Linked DNA regions of Callithrix jacchus. The protein of the gene in region 3 interacts with the protein of the main gene of each other region in a biochemical or structural test. Links are inferred from orthologs where the notes say so. Each region holds a gene or a part of one and is shown on either strand. Other genes may lie near its edges. The genes, in order: YES1, FNBP4, KHDRBS1, ITK, LYN, HCK and SRC.

The links.
Region 1: of the proteins of KHDRBS1 (region 3) and YES1, one has a biochemical effect on the other in vitro, tested with the Homo sapiens proteins (2 studies listed by BioGRID, with this or other methods). The link is inferred for Callithrix jacchus from reciprocal best matches to the Homo sapiens genes KHDRBS1 and YES1.
Region 2: the proteins of KHDRBS1 (region 3) and FNBP4 form a complex in vitro, tested with the Homo sapiens proteins (2 studies listed by BioGRID and IntAct, with this or other methods). The link is inferred for Callithrix jacchus from reciprocal best matches to the Homo sapiens genes KHDRBS1 and FNBP4.
Region 4: the proteins of KHDRBS1 (region 3) and ITK form a complex in vitro, tested with the Homo sapiens proteins (4 studies listed by BioGRID, with this or other methods). The link is inferred for Callithrix jacchus from reciprocal best matches to the Homo sapiens genes KHDRBS1 and ITK.
Region 5: the proteins of KHDRBS1 (region 3) and LYN form a complex in vitro, tested with the Homo sapiens proteins (3 studies listed by BioGRID and IntAct, with this or other methods). The link is inferred for Callithrix jacchus from reciprocal best matches to the Homo sapiens genes KHDRBS1 and LYN.
Region 6: the proteins of KHDRBS1 (region 3) and HCK interact in a biophysical measurement, tested with the Homo sapiens proteins (2 studies listed by BioGRID and IntAct, with this or other methods). The link is inferred for Callithrix jacchus from reciprocal best matches to the Homo sapiens genes KHDRBS1 and HCK.
Region 7: the proteins of KHDRBS1 (region 3) and SRC form a complex in vitro, tested with the Homo sapiens proteins (8 studies listed by BioGRID, with this or other methods). The link is inferred for Callithrix jacchus from reciprocal best matches to the Homo sapiens genes KHDRBS1 and SRC.

What each region holds. Positions count from the first base shown.
Region 1 is NC_133514.1:63,289,954-63,293,453, forward strand, and holds part of YES1 (tyrosine-protein kinase Yes), read left to right. Parts: intron 1-2,771; coding exon 2,772-2,980; 3' UTR 2,981-3,500. UniProt on the Homo sapiens protein: Non-receptor protein tyrosine kinase that is involved in the regulation of cell growth and survival, apoptosis, cell-cell adhesion, cytoskeleton remodeling, and differentiation.
Region 2 is NC_133511.1:112,816,462-112,819,961, forward strand, and holds part of FNBP4 (formin-binding protein 4), read right to left. Parts: intron 2,286-3,500; exon of another isoform or gene 1,968-2,285; intron 264-1,967; coding exon 127-263; intron 1-126.
Region 3 is NC_133508.1:68,627,225-68,631,179, reverse strand, and holds the start of KHDRBS1 (KH domain-containing, RNA-binding, signal transduction-associated protein 1), read right to left. Parts: upstream 2,801-3,955; 5' UTR 2,668-2,800; coding exon 2,286-2,667; intron 1-2,285. UniProt on the Homo sapiens protein: Recruited and tyrosine phosphorylated by several receptor systems, for example the T-cell, leptin and insulin receptors. Once phosphorylated, functions as an adapter protein in signal transduction cascades by binding to SH2 and SH3 domain-containing proteins.
Region 4 is NC_133503.1:20,008,514-20,012,013, reverse strand, and holds part of ITK (tyrosine-protein kinase ITK/TSK), read right to left. Parts: intron 2,418-3,500; coding exon 2,260-2,417; intron 1-2,259. UniProt on the Homo sapiens protein: Tyrosine kinase that plays an essential role in regulation of the adaptive immune response. Regulates the development, function and differentiation of conventional T-cells and nonconventional NKT-cells.
Region 5 is NC_133517.1:12,347,596-12,351,095, reverse strand, and holds part of LYN (tyrosine-protein kinase Lyn), read right to left. Parts: intron 2,105-3,500; coding exon 2,059-2,104; intron 878-2,058; coding exon 772-877; intron 1-771. UniProt on the Homo sapiens protein: Non-receptor tyrosine-protein kinase that transmits signals from cell surface receptors and plays an important role in the regulation of innate and adaptive immune responses, hematopoiesis, responses to growth factors and cytokines, integrin signaling, but also responses to DNA damage and genotoxic agents.
Region 6 is NC_133506.1:7,110,022-7,113,521, reverse strand, and holds part of HCK (tyrosine-protein kinase HCK), read left to right. Parts: intron 1-302; coding exon 303-506; intron 507-3,500. UniProt on the Homo sapiens protein: Non-receptor tyrosine-protein kinase found in hematopoietic cells that transmits signals from cell surface receptors and plays an important role in the regulation of innate immune responses, including neutrophil, monocyte, macrophage and mast cell functions, phagocytosis, cell survival and proliferation, cell adhesion and migration.
Region 7 is NC_133506.1:32,839,217-32,842,716, reverse strand, and holds part of SRC (proto-oncogene tyrosine-protein kinase Src), read right to left. Parts: intron 2,697-3,500; coding exon 2,620-2,696; intron 1,835-2,619; coding exon 1,681-1,834; intron 1,527-1,680; coding exon 1,395-1,526; intron 1,107-1,394; coding exon 898-1,106; 3' UTR 1-897. UniProt on the Homo sapiens protein: Non-receptor protein tyrosine kinase which is activated following engagement of many different classes of cellular receptors including immune response receptors, integrins and other adhesion receptors, receptor protein tyrosine kinases, G protein-coupled receptors as well as cytokine receptors.

The DNA.
Region 1 (3,500 bases), on a different chromosome or scaffold from region 3:
AAAAGGATGGAAAAAGATGTGCTCTGTAAATCCTAACCAAAGAAACAAAGCCTGGATAGCAGTAGACTGAATTTAAAGCAAGAAATAATACTAGGGGCAAAAAGGGACATTTTATGATGATAAAAGGGTCAGTACAGCAGGGAAACATAAAAATCCAAAATGAGCTATGTAACTACATAGCTTCAAAATGCATAAACATTTATATGATCAGGATATTCTAGTTAAATTCAATGTTCAGATGAGAATCCAAATCTAAACAATTTGTAGGTTACCCGTCTTTAAAGTAGAAAAGGAGATACTTTAGGCCAGGCGTGATGGTTCATGCCTGTAATCCCGGCGCTTTGGGAGGCTGAGGCAGGTGGATCACGAGGCCAAGAGGTCAAGACCATCCTGGCTAACATGTCGAAACCCTGTCTCTACGAAAAATACAAAACTTAGCTGGGAGTGGTGGCAGTCGTCTGTAGTTTCAGCTAGTCAGGAGGCTGAGGCAGGAGAATTGCTTGAACCCAGAAGATGGAGGTTGCAGTGAGCCAGTTGCGCTACTGCACTCTAGCCTGGGTAACAAAGCAAGACTCCATCTTTTTTTTTTTTGAGACCCCGCCCACCCCAATCCACAAGACTCCATCTGAAAAAAAAAAAAAAGGAAAAGGAAAATAGACACTTACTGTCTTTTTTTTTTATGATTTTAGAGGATTTGGAAAGAACTTTCCACATATAGCACAGACCTTTCCACTGCATGCTCTTCTCACAGAAGATTGTCCATTTCAAAGCAACAGCTTCTGTTTACTATTCTTATTTGGGGACAGTAATAAACCTTGATAAATGCTAAGAGGTATGAAATGCTTACATTTATTGACAGTATGCTGAGTATTTATATATTTTTCTTCTTTTTTTTTTTTTTAAAGACAGAGTTTTGTTCTGTCACCCAGGCTGGAGTGCAGTGGCATGATCTCAGCTCACTGCAACCTCTGCCTCCCGGATTCAAGCAATTCTTCTGCCTCAACTTCCTGAATAGCTGGGATTACTGGCATGTGCCACCACACCCAGCTAAGTTTTGTATTTTTAGTACAGATGGTGTTTCACCATGTTGTCCAGGCTGGTCTCAAACTCCTGACCTCAGGTGATCCTCCTGCCTCAGCCTCCCAAAGTGCTGAGATTACAGGTGTGAGCCACCACACCTGGTTGGCATAAAATAATAGTTCTAATTATTATAGAATTCTGAAGAGTGAAGTGAAAGCTTATTAGTAATTAGAAGTTATTTTTGTAGGTTCTGGCTTATTTAGATTGATTAATCCTAACAGTCAATTAAAATAAAAGAACAGAGTAGAAAAAACGTACTAAAAGGATTTTTCTAGCATAGCAAAAGAAAAAAAGGAAAAAAAGTTCAATTATAGTAAGCCCTCATCGAATATTAATTCCCTTGCTCCTTTTCTCCTCCCCTGAAACAACTTCTTGTATTTTGATGGTTGGTAAAATATACTGGATTTCACTTTATTTATTTATTTATTTATTTTGATATAGAGTCTCACTAAGTCACCAAGGTAAAGTGCAGTGGCACAATCTCGGCTTACTGCAACTTCCGCCTCCCGTTCAAGCAATTCTCCCGCCTCAACCTCCCAAGTATCTAGGATGACAGGCACCCACCATCGTGCCCGGCTAACTTTTGTATTTTTGTAGAGACAGGAGTTCACCATGCAGGCCAGGCTGATCTTGAACTCCTGACTTCAGGTGATCTGTCCGCCTCAGCCTCCCAAAGTGCTCTGAGATTACAGGCAAGAGCCACTGCGCCTGGCCGGATTTCACTTATGAAGATAACACTACCTATTTAGATGAAAAGTTCAGAAAACTTCCTTTTAAGTATTGAGTTTCAAAGTAATGTCATATAGGGCTTTTTTAAAGATAGTTTAAGAAATTTATTTTGAGAAATCAGTTATTCTTCAAAAAGAAATAACTAAAAATCTAAATAATGATTTAACCCCATTACATTTTCTTGAGAGAATCAAGTCCATTTTAAAAACCATTCCTGATTGGTTGATAAAGTTTACAAGAGATATGAGGGATGGCCTGACTTAGGCAGGCAGGGAAGGTGATGCGCCAGATGGGAAGCATGGTGGGGTTGTCGGCTTGGTGAGACACTGTCAGGAAAAATTTGGAAAAGGAGGCTTTTTGCTGGCCTGTGATAAGATGGGATGAGCTGCTTATTGTTAGGGGGTTGGGGGAAGGGGAATTATAAAGGAACACAAAAAAGAAACTATGTGTAATATCTTGAAGAAAGTGAAACAGGTGATACTAGATAAGGACACTGTTTCAAGGAAGTAATTTGGTATAAAGTTACATAGTTAGTATATTTGGCAAAACCAAGACTAGAACTTTCTTCTCAATTCCTATTTTAAAATATTTTCAGACACAATCTTGCCACCACTCCTCAGTAGCCCAAGTTTGGTCATTCTTTAATGTTAACATTAGAAAGTACCAGTACCTCAGAGCGGCTCCCTAATTCTTATTAATCAAATGGGGTTGGCTTTTGAAGACATTGGTATTAAAAATAAGATATTAGATGGAATGAAAAATTAGACATGTTAAAACATAGGTTAGCATTTTCTAAGCTTTTCTTGATACTCTCCTTCAAAATATATTTTGTTGCTTTGTTAAAAGAATTATTTCACTAAATAAAATTAATATACTTTGAATCAGTTAGTGACTATTTGGTTTATGTTTTCCTAGTGGTACTTAGGACCATTGTTCTTTAATGTTTTAATCTTGTGTGTTAGGTATGGTGAACCGTGAAGTACTGGAACAGGTGGAGCGAGGATACAGGATGCCCTGCCCTCAGGGCTGTCCAGAATCCCTCCATGACTTGATGAATCAGTGTTGGAAGAAGGACCCTGATGAAAGACCAACATTTGAATATATTCAGTCCTTCTTGGAAGACTACTTCACTGCCACAGAGCCACAGTACCAGCCAGGAGAAAATTTATAATTCAAGTAGCCTATTTTATATGCACAAATCTGCCAAAATATAAATAACTTGTATAGAATTTCTACAGGAATCAAAAGAAGAAATTCTTCTTTACTCTGCATGTTTTTAGTGGCAAACTGGAATCCCAGATATGGTTGCACAAAACCACTTTTTTTGTTCCCAAGTATTAAACTCTAACATACCAATGATGAATTTTCCAACCTATTTCAGGGTCCAAAGAAAATAGAGCTAAGATACTGATGACAGTGTGGGTGATAGCATGGTCATGAAGGACAGTGAGGCTACTGCTTATAAATCATTTTCTTTCTTTTCTTCCCCAAACTCAGAATTGCTCAAAGAAAATTATTTATTGTTACCGATGAAACTTGAGAGATAAAAACTATTACCATAATGAAATCTAAAATTAAGGAATATCATGGGACCAAATAATTCCATTCCAGTTTTTTAAAGTTTCTTGCATTTATTCTTCTCAAAAGTTTTTTCTAAGTTAAATAGTCAATATGCAATCTTAATATATGCC
Region 2 (3,500 bases), on a different chromosome or scaffold from region 3:
AAAAGAGTTGGAAGGAGAGGGTGAAAGGAGGTGGACGACAGTGAATTGACAAGTAGGATGACTACTTGAGATTCTGGTCCCAAAATACCTTCAATAACTAAAACCCCAAACCAAAGCACCACTAACCGCTAGGAAGTTGGCTAATGTACTATCAATATCAGTCGACTGGTTTCCATTTGTCTCTTTGGATTGTGCTGGCTTTTCAGAAACATCATTGTCGTCGTCATCACTGTCAGCATAAGCACCAAGTAAGCATAGACCGCCTAGAAACAAAAAGGAAAACAGTATTTGGTTTTTTTTTAAGAGACGGAGTTTTGCTCGTTACCCAGGCTAGAGTGCAATGGCGTGATCTCGGCTCACCGCAACCTCTGCCTCCTGGGTTCGGGCAATTCTCCTGCCTCAGCCTCCTGAGTAGCTGAAATTAAGGCATGCGCCACCATGCCCAGCTAATTTTTTTGTATTTTTAGTAGAGACAGGGTTTCACCATGTTGACCAGGATGGTCTCGATCTCTTGACCTGGTGATCCACCCGCCTCGGCCTCCCAAAGTGCTGGGATTACAGGCTTGAGCCATCGTGCCTGGCCTAGAAAACAGCATTTATAACAATGGCAATAAGTCCTAGGAATGTCTAAGCGAAAGTATAACATGGTTTTTTTTTTTAACTTACTTACAAATAAGAACATAATCCCAAAACTAATAATCACTGAACTATCACAGAACTATAAATTACATCGAATGGTTAAAGCTAATAAAAACCATCTATAGCCAGGGGTGGTGGCTCACGCCTATAATCCTAGCAGTTTAGGAGGCTGAGGCAGACAGATTGCCCAAGCTCAGGAGTTCAAGACCAGCCTAGGCATCAGCGTGAAACCCCATCTCCACTAGAAATACAAAAAAATTAGCCAGGCGTGGCAGCGTGTGTCTATAGTCTCAGCTACTGGGGAGGCTGAGGGAGGAGAACTCCTTAAAACCGGGAGGCAGGGTTGCAGTGAGCTAAGATTGAGCCACTGTACTCCAGCCTAGGCAACAGAGCGAGACTTCCCCCTCCAAAGAAATAAAAAAAACTTGATCTATGGGCCATGCACCACAACTTATGTCTATAGTCTCAACCTCTTGGGTAGGTTCTGAGGTAGCAAGGTCATTTGAGCCCAGGAGTTTGAGACCAGCCTTGAAAACATGGTGAGACCTTGTCTCTCCAAAACAAAAATAAAAACAAAAGAAGAGGAAGAAGAATATAAAATTAGCTGGGCGTGGGGCTGAGATGGGAGAATAGCTTGAGCCTAGAAGGTTGAGGCTACACTGAGCAGGAACATCTCCACTGCACTCCAACCAGTGACAAAGTGAGACTGACCATGTCTCCAAAAAACAGCAACAAAAAGAACAAGAGAACAAGAAAATTAATCCGCATAGTTATTTCAATTATTCAATCTCACTCTCTCTTCCCAAATAGTACATAGTATATCCTGATTTTAGAATTTAGTGATTAAAGTGTTTACCTCAAAGTAAGCAAATTACAGTGTAACAGTTGAAACAAAGACTTTACAAAAGAAAACAAATTTAAAAAAAAAGAGTAACAAAGACTTTCAAAGTTAAAAACAAAGCTTTTCAGTAGGAAGTGATGGATCACACTTGTAATCCCAGCACTTTGGGAGGCCAAGGCCGGCGGATCACCTGAGGTCAGGAGTTCAAGACCAATCTGACCCACATGAGGAAATCCCATCTCTGCTAAAATTACAAAAAATTAGCCAGGCATGGTGGCGCATGCCTGAGTTCCAGCTACTCAGGAGGCTGAGGCAGGAGAATCCCTTGAATCTGGCTGGGAGGCGAAGGTTGCAGTGAGCCGTGGTTGGGCCATTGCACTCCAGCCTGGGCAACAAGCAAAACTCTGTCTAAAAAAAAAAAAAGCTGCTGCTGGGAGTTGCTTGGAGGTTGGCGGTGCAGGGCTGAAGGCTAGCAGACGGAGTCATCATGTTGCACAAACAAATTTACTGTTTGGACAAATACGAGGAGTTTGAGTATCGGCATGTCATGCTGACTAAGGACATAGCCAAGCTGGTCCCTAAAACCCATTTGATGTCTGAATCTGAATAGAGGAATCTTGGCCTTCAACAGAGTCAGGGTTGGGTCCATTATATGATCCATGAACCAGAACCTCACATCTTACTGTTCTGGCGCCCACTACCCAAGAAGCGGAAGAAATGAAGCTGGCAAGCCACTTTTCAGCCTCACGCTTTACACAGCTGTCCTTACTTCCTAACATCTTTCTGATGACATTACTGTGTTGCCTTCCTGTTTTTCACTTTGATATTTAAAAGATGTTCAATACACTGTGTGAATGTGCTGGTAACTGCTTTGCTTCTTGAGTAGAGCCACCACCACTACAGCCCAACCTGATGAGTGCTCTGTGGGTCCACAGCCTCAGCTGAGTGTGACCCCAGAAGCCACGGTGTGCTGTCTATCCAGAGCACACTTGGCAGATGGAGGAAGCATCTGAGATTAAGACCCTGGCTGTTACAGGGATCGTGTAAACTTGTTTTTGTTTTTTCCTGCTGGGTGTTGGATGTATGGTGACTTGTGGATTTATGTTTCATTGTACTGGAAACGTTACATTTTATTCAAGAAATCTGTTCATGTTATAAACCTTGATTAAAGAGGAAGTTTTTATAATCTAAAAAAAAAAGAAAGAAAAGCTTCTAATCAATGATTATTCCTGAAACAGGAAGTGGCATAAATTAAAAATGGGGCTCAACATGGCTAAAACCAATTATTGTCTTCCTTAAACTCAAATGGTATCAGGGATGGCCTCTGTAATGCTGCTACGTCATTTCCTTTTGGATCACCTCTGGTAAGATTACAACTAACTAAGCACATGTACCTCTCTATATATGTTATTTTATTTAAATACGTAAAATGTTAAATTCTAGCTAAACTTTTTCAACTATTACTTATACTAAATTTCAGTGCTGACACATTCTATGCTCTCACTAAAAATTTGGTAAATGAACAGATTTATCAGAAAATAAAATTAGTTTTCTGTGTCATACATCCCATACATAAACTCAAAGGTCACCTAAAAGTAAACATAAATTGTTCCATTAGTCATGTAAGAGTTCACATTCAATGCTTTGGTATCATAATTCCTGCCTTCATTTTTTTTCATTTTGTATGTAGTATGAAGGTAAGTTCTTAAATAGCAATTTCTTTCTTTCTTTTTTTTTTTTTTTTGAGATGGAGTCTCACTCTGTCACCCAGGCTGGAGTGCGGTGGCACGATCTTGGCTCACTACAACCTCCACCTCCAGGATTCAAGAGATTTTCCTATCCAGCCGGGCGCGGTGGCTCACACCTATAATCCCAGCACTCTGGGAGGCCAAGGCAGGTGGATCACAAGGTCAAGAGATCGAGACCATCCTGGTCAACGAGGTGAAACCCCGTCTACTAAAAATACAAAAATTAGCTGGGCATGGTGGTGCGCACCTGTAGTCCCAGCTACTCGGGAGGC
Region 3 (3,955 bases):
GTGCCATTGCACTCCAGCCTGGGTAACAAGAGCAAAACTCTGTCTCAAAAAAAAAATTTAATGTAAAGTGCTCAGACACCAAACATTAAATATAGCTATATTTTTCTTCCATGTTTTTATTTTATTTTATTTTATTTTTTTGAGATAGGGTTTCACTTTTGTTGCCCAGGTGGTGTGCAATGGTCAGACGTGGGCTCACTGCAACCTCCATTTCCCGGGTTCAAGTGATTCTCTTGCCTCAGCCTCCCAAGTAGCTGGGATTACAGGTGTGTGTCACCATGCCCGGCTCATTTTGTATTTTTAATTTTTAATAGAGATGGGGTTTCACCATGGTGGTCAGGTTGGTCTCAAACTTCTGACCTCAAGTGATCCACCCTCCTCAGCCTCCCCAAGTGAGCTACCGGCGCCTGGCCCTTCCATTTGTTCTTACTAGAACTTAAATATTACTATTCTATCTTCTCAAAGTCTCACTTCTTCACAGTGGGTTGTGACTTCGCTGCAATTCCTTTGCAAGATAATTCAGAAGTACCTTAAAAGCCAGGCTCTGGCAGGGCGTGGTGTCTTACGCCTGTAATCCCAGAACTTTGGGAGGCCAAAGTGGGCGGATCATCTGAGGTCAGGAGTTCGAAACCAGAGTGAGCAAGAGGTGAAACCCCATCTCTACTAAAAATACAAAAATCAGTCAGGCATGGTGGCACTCGCCTGTAATCCCAGCTACTCAGGAGGCTGAGGCAGAAGAATCGCTTGAACCCGAAAGGTGGAGGCTGCAGTGAGGTAAGATAGCGCCACTACATTCCAGCCTGGGTGACAGTGAGACTCTGTCTCAGAAAAAATAAAAAGCCAGGCTCAATATACATTAACACTTATCAATGCCACAAAGAATCCATACATCCCGATTTCATTCTTTCAGTGAACCAACATTACCTCAAACACACTTACCAATTTCAGTTTGGTTTAAAGAAAAAAAAAAAAAATTCATCCAGAAAACAGAAGTTAAAAATAAAGAGCGCTCTCTTAGTTAAGCAGTGAGGGGAGACTGAAAATTACAGGGAACTTTTAAGGGTCAATAGTTTTTGACAGTTATCTTAAAAAAGCATAAAAGATGAACACCACATTGGTAAAGAGCCCTTAACTTACAGTGTTGGGAGACAGAACAAAGGGAGGGAGGTAATATTTTCATAACGAACTGTTCATTATATTAACCTTGCCATAGAGTCCAACCACTCATTCAGTGTTGAATGATGGGAATTTTTACTTGCATACTAAAATTTAAGTATCATAAGAAATATTTATTAAAATAATGTTTTAACTAGAAGTGGAGGTCAGACAGCTTTAGGGAAAAATCAGGGCGACTAGGTGATTGGCCAATGCTGATCAGAAAAAGAGCGCTAATCTACAGAACAAAGACTCATTTCTTTTTCACTACTGAATAAAATATGTAAAACAAAGCAACAAAAAGACCAAGACTTTCAGTACAAGCATCATGCAACTTCTCTCAATTTCTGTCCATCTCGTTGGGAAACGTCATGAGAACTACGCGGCAGTCCCTATCGTCCCATTTCAACGTCTCTAGGGTTATTTCACTCCTTCTTCAATGGTGAACCCACGGTGTAAAATTAAAGACAACCTTCAAGCTCAGTATAGCAATTCTTATTTTATCAGCCTTAGTAGGAAATCTGATTCGAAAACCTCAAGCTCCGATCCCCATAAATCGCTCCTTCCTCCCAGCAACTTAAGCTGCGGTTACCGCTAAGTCCGGCTCGGCCCCAGAGACAGCGACGCGCTGGACAGGGCATTCCAGCCTCACCCCACCTCACCTCGGCCTTTCCTCCCACGGCCCCTCCCCCGTTCTGGCTGTCTTCACCTCCCACACCTCGGTCGAGGGGCTCATTGCCACTCGCGATCAAAAAGGCTTCCCCCTCGGGGAAAGGGGGAAATACAGGTTCATTTCTGGAAGAATCTGCGCGCTCGGAGCGCGGGGCAGCCGCAGGAGGAGGGAGGAGTGAAGAGTCGGGAAAGGGGCGGGGAGCTCAGCACTATCCATCAAGATGTTAGCGCTAGGAGATCGCAAAGTCGCCTTCGGGCCTGCACTGCAGCCTAGAAATTCTCCCTCGCACTCCAGACTGAGGTGGGAATGTGGACTCCAGGGTCCCAAAAACGAAGATGAGACCGGAGCTCCCGACTTCCTCGGTCCCGAGGGGGCGGAAGGCGAGAGGAACAAAGCCAGGGCCACTCATGCCTTGGGATGGCCGGGCGACCCAGAGGGACCCGGGAGGCCCCCTTACCTGCCGTCAGCAGCTGCATGGCGTGAGTGAAGGACGGGTCGAGTGAGTCCTTCTCCGCCATGAGTTCGGGCAGGTACTTGTTCTCCGGCTCCATCTTGACCGAGGCTGTGGCTGAGGGGGGCAGCAGCGGGGTCGGAGCTGGCCCGCCCACTGTCGCGTCGGGACCCGTGGCCGAAGGCGGCAGCAGCGGTGGCGGCTGCGTGGCGGGCGAGGCGCGGGCACCTCCGCGGGATCCCCCTCCGCCTCCCCGGGACCGGTGAGGCAGCGGCGGCTGCCGAGACGGCGTCTGACGCACCGAGGGGTGGGCACCTGAAGGGTCCATGGAGCCGCTGCGGCCCGAGGACCGGCTCATGCGTGCGGCGGGGTCGTCCCGGCGCTGCATCGGGGAGGATGTGCGATCGAAGGAGTGAGAAAGCGACGCGGTAGCGGCGGAGGCCCGGGCGGCGGTTGGCGGGGGTGGGAGAGCGGGAGCGGTAGCGACCGAAGCCGACCCTAGCGACCCAGCGAGAGAGAGCACCGGAAATGAGGCGGCGCGCGTGCGCAGCCAGTCACCGGCACCGCCCTTGGGTTTCTCCGCGGAGAACAAAGTCCCCAGTCCAGCCACGGCGCCTGCGCACCACCGCGGCGTACGAAGAAGTGGCCTCCCGACTCCTGCTTTCCCTCCGCGCCCGCCAGGCCAGAATTTGGCGCGCATGCGCGGGAGGCTGCCGGCTCAGTTCGTTTCCTTTTCCACGTGACTCGGCGCTAGCGGGACACGTGGGTCCTTCCCCTTCTGGTTCAGTGGGCGGAGGGGGCGGGGGCTGTGGAATGTCTTTGTCTACGCGCGGGCCCGCCGAGTGTGGGGCGGGAGACCTGTTACTCGCCGGGCCACGCCCTCCAACGGCCGAAAGGCACGGACATTTTAGTGCGCAATGGGGTGGGGTGGTAAGGCGAGTAGCTTGGGGGCGGTCACTGAAGTGAGAAACTAAAAGGAGACTGCGGTGGGAGACCCAGAAAGGGAAGGGAGAGAGAACTGAGGCTGCCTAGGGAGGAAGAGAGGTGGGGGAGAGACAGAGACTGCACAAGGAGAAAGAAAGACTAAGGGAGAGTCTGACGCAGCAATAGCAGGGGAGATGGGGAAGGGAAACCTGGAGGGAGAAATTGAAGAAGGACGGCTTGGTGGAAACACTAAAAGCAATTGGAGGACTTGACCTAAGAGGGAGGGTTCGGATCAGAGACCTGAAGTCTAGCAAAGAAAAGGGCCCCAGACAGCAGGGAACACGAGAAGTCATTGCTAGTGTTATATATATTTCCAGTATTACATATATTGCAGTCGGTTCTAAAACGGTTGCCATTGCTGGTCAGGGAAATCTTAAAAGAAGCAGCATTTTAGCTCTTTTTACATATTTTACTGCTTTCTGTGACTTAACGTTTTGTTTAGCCGTCATTCTTGCCAGTTAAGTGTTTTTTCCGTCAAAAAGTGGGATAGAGACCAGATCCTTAATCGACGTTGGTTGCATCATTAGGATGGCTCCTTCTACCATTCCAGACTGGCTTAGAGAGACCCTTGCCACTACTCTCAAGGCCAAGGTACATACATAGTGGACAATCTTCAACGGCGTTCTCCACATCCTAGAGTGCTATATGCAAGTGGAGCCTTAGGTTCCTACTTGTCCCATAAACCATCAAAA
Region 4 (3,500 bases), on a different chromosome or scaffold from region 3:
GCATATGAAAATGTTCTTAACATTGAATGTCATTAGGAAAATGCAAATTAAAACAATGATGTAATATAACTACACATCTATTAGAACCACTGAAATCCAAAACAACAAATGCTAATGAGGAACTCTCGCTGCTGGTGCGAATGTAAAATAGTAGAGCTACTTTGGAAGACATTCTGGCAGTTTCTTAAAAAGTTAAACACAGCCTTACCATATGATTCAGCAAGCATACTCTTAGGCACTTACCCAACCGAGTTGAAAATTTATGTGCATACAAAAACCTGCACATAAACATTTATAGCAGCTTTATTCATAATCGCTTAAAACTGAAGGCAAGCAAGATTTCCTTTAGTGGGTAAATAAACAAACTGTGGTATATCCATACAATGGAATATTATTTAGCAATAAAAAGAAATGAGCTATCAAGCTAAAAAGCCATGGAGTGACCTTAAAGGCATATTACTAAGTGAAAGAAAGCAGTCTGCCTGGATGCTCATACCTGTAATCCCAGCACTACGGGAGGCCTGAGATGGGTGGACTGCCTGAGCTCATCTGGGCAGTATGGCAAAACCTTGTCTCTACCAATAATGCAAAAAATTAGCTGGGCATAGTGGCTCATGCCTGTGGTTCCAGCTACTTGGGAGGCTGAAGTGGAAGATTCACTTGAGACTGGGAGACAGAGGTTACAGTGAGCTGAGATCGTGCCACTGCACTCTAGCCTGGGTGACTGAGATCCCATCTCAAAACAAAACAAAAATTCAAACAAATAAAAAAACTTGAAAGCAACCAAGATTTCCTTCAGTAGGTAAATAGATAAGCAAACTGTGGTATATCCATACAATGGAATACTATTTGGCAACAAAAAGAAATGAGCTATCAAGCCATGAAAAGACATGGAGGGACCTTAAAGGCATATTACTAAGTGAAAGAAATCAGTCTGAAAAGCATACATGCTGTATGATGCCAATATACGACATTATGGGAAAGGCAATACTATGGAAACATTATAGAGATCAGCAGTTGCCAGTGGTTTGGGGATGAGGAGAGGGATAAATGTGTGAAGCACAGGAAATTTTTAGGGCAGTGAAACTATTCTGTCTGATATTATAATGGCAGATACATGGCATTATTCATTTATCAAAACCTACAGAAATCTATAGCATAAAGACTGAACCTTAACATAAACTATGAACTTTAGTTAATATAATGTATCAATAAAGGTTCATGAATTGTAACAAATTATCACACACTTGCCAAATCTTAGTGAACAGAGAAACTGCTCAGGTGAGGAGGGTATTTGAGAACTCTGTACTCTTTGTTAAAAAATAAAGTCTATAAATTTAAAAAATCAACAAAAGATGTTTAAAAGAGGAAAAAGTGCCAACTGAACATCAGCTGTCATTATTATTATTGTAGTTAATCCTTATGAAGTGGATAAGATTTGTTTCATGCCCTTGTTTATGACTTTATTGTTTCTTTGTTCCTCATTATAAAGGCTCTATGAACCCATACATCAAGCATTATTTAATTCTCTTAACAGTAAGAAAAAGGAAGTTCAGAGAATTGTTGAAGATAAATGGCAAATAAATGGTAAAGCTGAGACAAAATCCTAGTGTTCTAAATTGTCTGTATTCCACTTTGTTGTCCTACAATGATGTGAATTTTTACTAATTCTCTATTTCAGCAACTTTCCACTTTGGCTGAAATGTACAATTTTCTAACTCACCAAAGACCATCTAAGACTCATGCTGATGGGGCTCAACCCATGGCCTGCAATCCAAGGATGGGATAGCCAGCCAGGTGGGTACAAAGGAAGTGGCTCCCCATTTTAAATTGCTGAATGAATAAAATGAATTCAAATTAATCCATTTCAATATTTTCATAGTGTGAGTGAACTTTGTTCCCCAAGTTATAGAACTAACTTCATGTACTTTTAATGGTTTTATGATGTCACAGATTTTATTTCTTTTCTCAGAAAATTGAGAAGGAAGTTGGCATAGGTCACACCCCATTCTCCTCTCTGAAGTTATGCTTATGGCTTGTGACATTATATAGTAAACAAAATAATATTTAAGGTCACCATCAGCTCCATTAGGGATGGGGGATCTATCCTGTTAAAAGACCCTCAAAGTCATGTTGTTGTTAATCTATATGAGTCATCCCTCTTGCCTTAGCCTTCTGAGAGGGTTACTTTCTCTAGGGAAGGAGGCAGGTCCTGAAATTGTATATGACGATGCAGGGGAAAGCACTTCCTCCACTGACCTCTTTCCAGCAGTGATTCATAATCTGGTAGACATGTGAGGAGGCTAGCCGGGGCTTGTACAACCGAAATCCAGTACTGATGTCTTCTACCACCTCTGAGTTGCTTCGGTTTTCATATGGGATTTTGCCTTCACTGAAAACTTCCCACATCAGCACACCTATGAGAAATGGTATGCACAGCACAGTGAATGACAAAGCCCACAGACAGCAAACAAAGCAACCTCCCCCTAGAAATTTCAGACTCGTTGGCATTAGGATTCATGTGCTACCTCCAGAAGTACATCAAGTCTACCTGAGGTTTATTAGCCCTGTCCTATTTTTAAAGAACTGAAATTTCCAACCTTTCTAGTGGAGAAGGATTTTCAAGATGGACCCTTTGTTATATCAAACTCAAATGCTGCCACTAACAGTTGTAGACTCAAATGCCAACGTGCAATATGTAAATGAACGGAGTGCAGGAAGTATGATAGGGGGAATTGTGGAAAATGAGATAAACAGCTCCGTCTTAAGGAGACAGCTATGATTTGACTCCAGCCAAAGTATGGCATATGAAAATGAGGGATCAGAACTGTTACAATTTCTGATTTTTGAAAAGGAAGTCAAAAATTAAGAGGTGAACTTCTTGAATTTTAAAAACACCATGTAGACCAAGCAAAATACATCTTTGGCTTATCTGTTTTTGACCTCTGATTTAATTCTTTTCCTTTCTTCTTCTGCCCTTAGTAGAATTGTCAGCTTTGTCCTTATCATGTGCTGATATAGTCACAGGTTGTCAGACCAGGAAGACTGCTTGTAAATCACCTAATCCAGCACTTTTCAAGGTTCGTTCCAGAGAATCTTAGAGTAGACATTCCCAAAGCATGATTCCCAAAACACCGAATAAAAATCATTTCAGAGGCTTGTTCAAGTGGCAGATTCCTGGGCCCTAGCCCAGACCCAGTGGAACAGAATCGCTAGGGGTTACTCAGAGGTGCCTCAGGAGTTGGAAATTGACAACCTGACCCTAAATAAGAGTGTTTATCACCCAAGATACCAGAATTTTTAGTGAAAATTGTTTTGAATATGCGCTGCTGCTAAAACATGGTTTCAGAATGATTGCCTTAAGACATAGATGCATAGAGGAGAAGCGAATAGATGAAAATATTGAGTGAAGTGCAAAGAGATTGACTTGTTCAGAATAGCACACTGCTAATTAGGATGAAAAAACCTTAACACATACAACAAAGTCCAGCGTGCTGATG
Region 5 (3,500 bases), on a different chromosome or scaffold from region 3:
TGACGACACCCAGGCTTCCTCACAGAAGCACAGCAACTGCTGAGCTGAGGATCTTCCAATATGGCTGCTGTAGCTCAGCACCCTTAGAACTCAAACTAGGTTGGGCCCATCAACCCAGTCTAAATGTGAGTAATATAACAAAAGAAAAATGGCATTTCCAATATTATGCATGGGCCACACAGACCCAAATTCCTTAAGGTGGCAAGATTGGATAAAGAAAGAAACTAGGCTGAGTGTGGTGGCTCACACCTGTAATCTCAACACTTTGGGAGGCCGAGGTGGGAGAATTGCTTGACAGCAGGTGTTCAAGACCAGTCTGGGCAACATAACAAGGTCCCATCTCTAAAAATTTTAAAAATTAGCCAGGCATGGTAGCACATGCCTGTAGTCCTAGCTTCTCATGAGGCTGAGGTGGCAGGATTACCTAAGCTTAGGAGTTTGAGGCTGCAGTGAGCTATGATCATGCCACTGCACTCTAGTCTGGATGACAGAGAGAGATCTCATCTCTAAATAAATAAATAAATGAATAAACCAGCATCTGTCTCCAAAGGGAACCCCCTGCAGAGTGCTCACAGCCGGACCTAGAAGGAAAATCCCTTTGGCCCTTTTCCTTCCACTGCCCACTCCCTGTGGGTAGCAAGGAGGCCTCATGCCCATTGCAGGAAGGGGGCCAGGCTACAGCTGCGGCATCAGAAGCAAGACAAGGGGACAGCCTGCAGGCCTCAGTGGCCCAAGGAAAGGAGCAACCGCCGCATGTTTGAGAGCACTTACTCCTCCAGGACTTTCATCTTCTCTCCTTTCTTGAAAGACAGGTCATCTGGGTGGATGCCATCATAGGGGTACAAGGCTACCACGATGTCTCCGTGCTCCTCCGGATCTAGAGATGAGCACAAGAGAACACCTGTAAGAATCCATCAGCGGAAGTGTGTTAACCATCCTCATGAGGCACAAAGGACATGAGGAAGCACTAAGAGAGGGGCGATGGGAAGAAGGACATGTGCTTCCTACCTCGCGGGCTCATGTCTGCACGGCCTACGGAGAGTAACTTGCTGTATACACTGTGTCCAGTATTTGCTATTGCAAACCACCGAATCACTGAAATCTACAACTATAAATACAACTCTGTATTTAAGAAATAGATTCTGATTCCAGATACACCAAATTCCCCGTCTATTTTAAGAAATGATACACCCATATTCACAGCAAGATTATTCAAAGATGTGGAAATAATGCAAACATCCAATGACGGAGGAATGGATAAACATCATGGGGCATATAGATATAGATATAGATACAGATATAGTTTTTTTAGATGGAGTCTCACTCTTGTTGCCCGGGCTGGAGTGCAATGGTGCAATCTCGGCTCACTGCAACCTCTGTCTCCTGGGTTCAAGCAATACTCTTGGCTCAGCCTCCCAAGTAGCTGGTATTACAGGCACCTACCACCATACCCAGCTAATTTTTTGTATTTTTAGTAGAGATGGGGTTTCACCATGTTGGACAGGCTGGTCTTGAACTCCTGACCTCAGATGATCCACCTGCCTTGGCCTCCCAAAGTGCTGGGATTACAGACATGAGCCACTGTGCTTCACCAGGGCATATACTTACAAGGGAATATTATTCACCCTTAGAATAAAAGAAATTCTAACACTTTCTACAGCATGGATGAACCTCGAGGACATCACCCTAAATGAAATAACCCAAACATGAAAGGACAATTACTATATGATTCCACTTCTAGGAGGTACCTAGAGCAGTGAAATTCATAGAGCCAGAACAGAGGTTGCCAGCGGCAGGGGGATGAGGCAGGAGGACTTATCGTCTAATGGGTATGGAGTTTCGGTTTGAGAAGATGCGTTCTGGAGATGGAGGGCGGTGATAGTTCCACAACAATGAGAATGTACCTAATGCCACTGAAATGTAGACTTAAAAATAGTGACGAGGGTCCATTTTTATGTTATCTATGTCCCACATTAAAAAAAAAAATCAAGACAACCACTTTATAGAAGCTCTAATAGTAAAGAAAAAAAATTTAACTATGTTGCTGTGAAGACATACCTTTAGTTTGAAACCTCTGTCCAGGCAAAAGCTGAGATTCTGAAACCTACAAGAGAATATTCGTTAGGGAAAAATATTCTGTTTAGCTTTTCTTGCTGACATTCATGTTGTATATATGATTTTTGTAATAGAAGCAGATGCTGTTAGATGGGCTCATTCATGAAGTTGGAAAGAACAGGAGCACAGAGGAAAAACCTGTAGAGCTTCGTCCAGCTCTGCTCGGCCAGTGAAAGGGCTCTTTTGTCACTTGCTGTGGGTGGCAGGAAGGGAGTGAGGTTCCAGACGGGGGCTGCTCGGTGCTCACCTCATCCTAACCCCCCCATTCTTTGGTGACAGAACCCTAACATTGTTTGGGGTGGCAGTTTGCCCAGCTCAATGAGTGTGCTTGCAAACCCTCTAGCCCCGGGCAGATGGCAGAAAGTTTCAGTCAGCAGATCAACTGTTCAGGCCTTTGCCATCAGCTCCCCTTTTCCTTTGCCTCTTTCTCTCTCCCTGGAAATAAGTGAAGACTGGAGCCCCAGCAGCCATAGAAACCAAACATCAGGGCAGCAGGACGGAGACGGAAGTGGCGGGGCCTGGTGACTCAGTGGAGTTGCTGTCCCCGCCCAGGACTGCCCATCCAAGGCTTCCCCAGTTTGAGTGAAATTGCACAGTCAGGGCTCTGTCCCTGGAGGCTGAGAGCAACTCCTGTCTCATCCAGCTTCTCTTGGGCTGATCCCATGACTCAATCACAGGAACAGATGGCATCCCCTGTTATTTCAGTGGGGAGGTGAGTTATTGGGAAGGATGTGGTGGCACAAAAGGCCATCTCAATTACTTTTGAAATCAAATTCCTTTTTCTCACAGTGCCATGTGAGGCTGTGTGAGGCCTCTGGGCCTCTTGTAGGATAGGGGCTGTCAGAGACCTGTCCCACAAACCATGTAACTTTTCTGTTTCTCTTTGATTAAAGTGGCTTCATAGAATGGGACAAAAACAGTTTGCACTGAAATTCAAATTTCTGATGAAAGCCCACAAAATCTCCAATTCAGTGAGGTGAGGAAAATGACTACACTGTAGTACCAGAAAAACCCATGGCTGTACATATCATGTTTATGTCAAGAAGTTCTATGTCGATTTTTCAGTCATTCAGATTTGCATAATTTGAATAATACAATCTATTTTATATGATTCAGAGGAAATAACTGGAAGACTAGAGACTAATTTCATCATTTTCGAAGCAGCAAGCTGATTTTTCAAATATCAAAGAGCCCTTAATTTACCATTTTAATATACTTTTTATAAGACCAAAACACACCTATGCAACGCATATACTATCGCTCTAGATTTTTCCTTAAAATGGCTTTTTCTGGAATGTTGTTGAATTTTGCATCAGCTCAACCTCACCTTCTCAGCAGATTCCCCTTGTAGTCAGTCCATGGCCTGCATTTTGGCACATGTGGCC
Region 6 (3,500 bases), on a different chromosome or scaffold from region 3:
AAACAGCCTATGCAAAAGTAGGTAAAGGAGTTTAGCCTACTTGGCAGGAGCCCAGGGGGTGGTGGGAGTTGAGTGAGACCCAGCCTGGGCCTTAGCTGGGCCTCCTGCAGATGCCAAGGGCAGGGCTCATTTGAGTATGTAAATTCCAGGGGCCCAGAGGACACCACAAGGTGTAACAAAAGACTACTTTCAGAGCCTGGAATGCCAGAGGGATATGGAAATATGTTTTCACTCCAGTGGGCCCAGTCTCCTGGGAGACAATAGACTGATCTGTTGCTAAATTATCATCTCCAAACTCGCAGAAACCCTGCTGGGCAGCAGTCACGGACCAGGGCAAGAGCCACTCTCCCTGTTTCACAAAAGGGAAACAAACCAAGGAAGGAAAGAGGTTCTGGGCCTTCATCTGTCCAGAAGCAGAGGTAGACTCAGAGCCCAGGGGAAGAAAGGAGCCCACCTGGGGCCTTGGTCCTCACCTCCAGACTCGGAGAGGCAGCTTGGAGCAGCAGGTGGGTTCCCCAGCCTGTCACCACCAACTGGCTATTGACGTCCAACCCACTTTGGGTCTCAGTCTCCCCATTTGTCAAATGAGGGAACTGGACCACAATGTGGGTTTTTTGTTTTTTTTTTTTTTTGGTAGTCACAGCTGCGTTGGCCAAATGAAATGGTGTGCAGTAACTGAGTAAATACAAACAGGCCAAAACAGGGCTGCTCTGACCAAAGCAGGGTGAGGGGCTTATCTGTGGCCTTTCTTTTGTCTCCCCCGCCCCCATATAACCTTGAGGCATCCATAGGATTCATTTTGAAGAGCTCTACAGGTCTTTCCAGGTCTGATGCTGTGACACCCCGATACTCTTGGAAGCAAACCCAGTTCCAATGCCCAACCTCATGGCACCCTGTCTGGGGATCATTAAAATCTCACCACCTTATCAACCCCCAGTGCTGACACCTGGGCTCAATAAACCTACTCATTACTCATTCAGTCAGCAAACCCTTGAGAGGCAGCACTACTAACATCTGGGCTTAGGAGTCACATTGAGTTTTGTTTTGATCTCAGCTCTGCCTGTGTAGCTTCGAGCAAGTAGCTTAACCTCTCTGAGTGCCACTTTCCCCCACTGAGAGCACCAGGAGCCACTATTGAAATATATACTTCACTATGTGCTAGACACTCCACTAAGCCCTTGATGTAGGCTTAGGGGATTAATCTTCACTTGACCCCTTGGAACCGGGTGCTATTACAGAGAAGAAAGTGAGGTACAGAGAGATGACACAATTTGCTTGACATCACAGAGCTGCAGCACGCAAGCTGAGCTGGTCCAGCTCCAGAGCCATTTAGTCAATACCCTCTGCTGTCTCCTGAGTGGGGTGTCAGCCCCAGTCCATTGAGCTCCTGTGAAAATCAGTGGTATGAGCATCTGCCAGTGGGGATCAAACAGCGGTAACTCCTGGCATTAGAGCTTGTTCCAGAAGAAAAGCCAGGCAAAAGGGTTGGGCAGAGTAACAGGCCAGTGCACAGACCCCAGGCGGCGCTTTTGGAGTTTCAGCCCGGGCTCCGCAACTTGCAAGCTGTGTAAGCTGGGGCCACTTACCTATTTCTCTGGGCTTCAGTTTTCTTATCTGTGGAAAGGGGGCTGACAGCAAAAGTGCCTCCTCCAAAGCACAAGGTACATGTCACTTAAGTATTTAAGTATCATCCTGTAAACAAGCTATGATGTCTGTTAATCGTTCGTCTAAGGACTCATAAATTTCCCACACTCCCAGGATCAAGATTCTGTCTCTCACTTCCTCCTGGCAACCTCATCCCTATCTCGTCCCTACCTCCTACGACTCCAAACAAAATCAGTCTCTTCCAAGCTTTTACTGAAAAGTCTGGGTCTCCCTTAGAGACCCAGGGAGGCTCAGGCCTGTAATCCCAGCGCTTCGGGAGGCTGCGGTGAGAGGACCGTTTGAGCTCAGCCTGGGCAACACAGGGGCCCAGGAGGCAGAGATTGCAATGAGCTGTGATCCCACCACTGCACTCCAACCTAGGTGACAGAGCAAGAGCCAGTCAAAAAAAAAAAAAAAAAAAGCCTGGATCTCCATTCTAACTGCCTCAGGTGCCCCCTGCTGTCCACTCCCTGCAAGTGCGCCACTCACTTGACTCAGTCGCTGGGAGGCCAGCTGGTGGTGCTTTGATTGGTCTGTCTAGTCTAGTCAGACGCTCTCGCTTCCAGAGTAATTTCATCAAACTGCACCCAGCTGCAGTCCGACTGGAGTGCTGGGTTATTTAGAGGCAACAGGAAGCACTAGATTGGGAATGCTCAGACTGGCTTGAGCCTGACATTCAGAATGTTTCTGGTGGTGTGAGCTGGAACGAGTGTTTCCATGTCTGTAAAACAGAGATCAGATCATGATCATTCCTGCCTCAAATTGCTTGTCGCCCAGTTTGTCAGCCAAAAGTGCTGCTTTCTGGGCATCTGAGGGTTCATCTTCAACCTCTTTTGTCCACACCCTTGTAAGTAAAAATGACTGTGAGATATAATCCCTGTGTTTTCATCAAAGGCTTCTAGGGCCCCCAGTGTGAATAAGAATCCTCCATGCAGTCTGTTTCACTCGGCAGCCATGGTGATCTTTAAATGTACATCAGAACATGTCACACTCCTGCCTGAAGGCCTCGAATATCTCCCCATCACGCTCAGAATAAAATCCACCCTCCTGTCCTGGCCGACAAGGCTGTTCATGATTATGGCCTCCCTTCCAACTTCAGCTCTCCCCACTTTCTCTGTGGCATCTTCTGCTCGCCACACTGGCCTCTGTGCTGTTCCACAAACACCCAAGCTCTTTCCTACCTCTAGGCCTTTGCACCTGATGTTCTCTCTGCCTAGAATATTCTTATGTGACACACTTATTATTATCATCATTCCTATCTTTGCTAAAATCTCACCCCCTCAAAGCAGGTTTCCCTGAACACCCAATCTGAAAAAGCCCTCTACGGGTCATCTTTTGTTACTCTGTTTTATCTTTTTTTTTTTCTTTTTTGAGACAGAGTCTTGTTCTGTCACCCAAGCTGCAGTGGCATGATCTCGGCTCACTGCAGCCTCTGCCTCCCAGGTTCAAGCAATTCTCATGCCTCCACCTCCTGAGCAGCTGGGATTAGAGGCGTGCACCACCACGCTCATCTTCCTTTTGAATTTTTAGTAGAGACAGGTTTTGTCATATTAGCCAGGCTGGTCTTGAACTCCCGGCCTCAAGTGGTCTACCCACTTCGTCCTCCCAAAGTGCTGGGATTACAGGTGTGAGCCACCACGCCCGGCCTGTTTTATCTTTTCTTTATGGGACTTTCTACCTGCAGCAGTTTTGCCTGGCTCACCACCTGTTCAAGCAACATGTCTGGCACCCACAAGACAATCAGTAGATTTCTGTTGAGTAAATAAGTGAATTTTCCCTACCCAGGGCTGGGGCATGAGAAAGATATAAGAGGTATAGCAGAATATGACATGAGCCTAGATAGTCCCCAGAAAGAG
Region 7 (3,500 bases), on a different chromosome or scaffold from region 3:
CTTTCACCCTGACTCCCAGCTCAGACCCACATCTGCCTCCATGCTGTTCCCCAACAGCCCGGCCGAGCAGGCAGCGGCAGTGCGATTCTGCCATCTCGAACGCATCCTCAGATCCCTTGTCCCCTGGGTTGTCCCAGTCTTTTCGTGATGCCTCCCACGAACTGTTGGTTCCTGAGGAAGACAGAGGGAGCACCGGTTCCAAGCCGCCTCCACTCTGAACTGCTCTGTGGCCTTGGACACGTCACATCCCCTCTCTCGACTGTCTCCCCATCAGTGAAATGGGGGCAAGGAAGTGATGATCTCCAAAGGTGCCTCAGGTCTAAGGAGGCAGGGTTTGAGGGGTACTCATCCTACTGCCCAGCCTGGGAGCAGCGGCAGAGGATCCATCTCGGCTGCCTCTGCCTACAGGTGTTTCCAGAATGGATGGCAAGGGGCAGGATGGTGAGCAGGCGGGGCCAGGGGCCCATCGCTCCTCTTTGGAAAGGCTCTTTGGCCAGCTCTCGAGACAGATTGGGGGTGGCACGGAAGTGGGCAAGGAGTTCAGTGAGTGGAGTAGGCTGAGGCTGGAAAAGGCCATCCTCAGGCCCGGCCCCAGCCCTTCTCCCGGTTCCTCCTCCAGAGACCCACAGAGCTCCAGGAGGGAGTGCAAGGAGGGGCGTGTGGCTAGAGTGGGCGCTGGACAGTCACTGTGCTGGTCTCACACGCCTGCCGCCCTCTCAGGCCACCCTAGGTCCGGAAGCCCCTTCCATGCCGCCAAAGAGGGAGGGGCCTCGAGCCTGGCAATTCAGCCCCACAGAGAGAGGACCAACAGCAGGCAGGCAGAGCAGGGCGAGCCCCAAGACAGGGGCCACCCAGCCCAGGATCCAAGCCGAGAAGCCAGTCTGGGCCCGCCCGTGCCTAGAGGTTCTCTCCAGGCTGGTACTGGGGCTCAGTGGACGTGAAGTAGTCCTCCAGAAAGGCCTGCAGGTACTCGAAAGTGGGCCGCTCCTCAGGCTCTTTCCGCCAGCACTGGCACATGAGGTCGTGCAGGGACTCAGGACACTCGGGCGGGCAGGGCATCCGGTAGCCCCGCTCCACCTGGTCCAGCACCTCTCGGTTCACCATCCCTGTGGGCAGAGTGAGGCATGGGAAGCCTGGCTCCAGTAAGGAAAGTGGGGTGCGGGAAGCTGATGGGGAGGATGGTGAGGGCTTCCTGCCTAGGCCAGGTTGGGTGCAACCATGGGTAGGTCCCGTCCCCGAAGCTGAGAGCATGGACCATCAGGAGAGCCTAAGATCAGGTGCTCAACTTCTTTGTTGTATGGATGGGGAAACAGGCCCAGCAGGAGTCAGGTCTTACCCAAGGCCACCAGGGCAAGGGCTCAGGGACTAGAGACGGGCCGGGAGGACCTTCTTACCAGGGTAGGGCACCCGCCCCTTTGTGGTGAGCTCCGTCAGCAGGATCCCGAAGGACCACACATCCGACTTGATGGTGAACCGGCCATAGAGGGCAGCTTCCGGAGCCGTCCACTTGATGGGGAATTTGGCACCTGCAGGAACGAAAAAGGTCAGGGCAGCTCTGACCTGTCGTGACTGCTCCACCAGGTGAGCACCATGAGGAATGACAGATAAGGAAACTGAGGCTTGGGAGAGGACGTGACCTGCCCCAGGCTGCACGCCCCGTGCCACGAAGCCCCTGCCCACCTTGCCGGGCTGTGTACTCATTGTCTTCGATGAGCCGAGCCAGCCCGAAGTCGGCCACTTTGCACACCAAGTTCTCTCCCACCAGGATGTTGGCTGCACGAAGGTCCCGATGGACGTAGTTCATCCGCTCAACATATGCCATGCCAGAGGCGATCTGCAGGCAAAACCATGGGAGCCCAGCTCAGGTGCCACCCATGCCCTCCCAGGACCACAGGGCACCCAGGGCTGGAGAGCCATCCACCCCTCCCCCACCATCCCATGCTTCTTCAGGCAAGTGAGGTCAGTTCACGGTAAATGCTGTTGGCATCAAAAGCAGGAGCAGTGCTCCGCAGGAGGAGGGAGCACAGGGGCAGAGGGGAGAGAGCAAAGGGCAATGGGGAGGCCCGAGATCAGATGCAGCCAGGAAAGTGAGGTGACCATGGAAAGAGGCCCCAGCGGACCCAGACACAGACAAGTGGACAAGTGCCATGCCCTGCCTGCTGCCCAAGTCTCCTCTCTGAGCCTGTTTTCTCATCCATCCAATGGGAATAATAGCCAATCCTCGTCACTCCTGATGAAAAATGCTTGTCAAGCACTGCCTAAAGTCAGCACAAACACATGTCTGCTGAGTGACTAAATGACTATTGAGATGACAACTGAGTACATCAGTTGTACTGATGTACAGGGGACCTCGGGCCTCAGTTGTCATCTCTATAAAGGTGACCCCTGATATTAGTCAGTGACCCCTGATGCCCAGGTAAGGGCTTTCTGCTGCCCAGAACCACCGCTTAGGGTGCCTGTAAGTGGACCTGGTAAATACGTGTGGCAAGATCAGTGAGTGTGGGGGTAATCAAGGCAGGCTTCCTGGAGGGGGCACTCAAGAGGCCAGAACTGGCTGCACCAGATGGGTCTGGGTGCTTGAGGACCAAGGGTGTGGGGAGAAGGGAGGGGCTGACTAACCTGAGCAGCCATGTCCACCAGCTGAGGCAGCCGCAGGTACTTGCCCGTTTCCCCCTTGAGAAAGTCCAGCAAACTCCCTGGGCAGAGAAAGACCCAGCTCCAGTTCCTGCCCTGTCCCTCTGCCAGGATGCAGTGATTCCCAAACCTGTCCTCCCAGGTGGCTAGCCTTGCTATAACCAGCACAACAGATTTTATGTAAACTCATCTCTCAATAAAGTGCTTGTCACTCAAAAGGCAAGCAGGTTGGGAAACGACCAGATGCGCACCTCCAGGTGAACAGGTAAACTGTGTTAATGCGGACAATGGCGTCCTGCTCAGCGACAACGGGAACTAACTGCTGGGAGATGCCACAGGGACGCATCTCAGGCTGGGCACGGTGGCTCCTGCCTGCAATCCCAGCACTTTGGGAGACCAAGGCGGGAAGATCATTTAAGCCCAGGAGTTTGAGACCAGCCTGAGCTACACAGTACAAAAGATATAAACAAAAAAAAAAATTAGCTGGGCGTGGTAGGGTACACCTATAGTCCCGGCCACTTGAGAGGCTGAGATGGGAGGATCAATTGAGCCTGGGAGGTCAAGGCTGCACTGAGCTGTGATCACGCCACTGCACTCCAGCCTGGGCAACAGAGTGAGTCCTTGTATCAAAAAAATTTAAAACATTTAAAATTTAAAAAGTTAAAAAAAAAAGGATGCATCCCAGATGTAAAATATTTCATGTATGAAATTCTTGAATAAACAAAACAGATTGATAATGACAAAGTATATCAGTGGGTGCTTGGGTTTGGGGTTGGAGGGTGCTGTCTGCAAAGGGCCCAAGGAACTTTCTGGGTGATGGGGCTGTTGCTATCCCCATTATGGTGAGAGCACACAGTAAACCCACT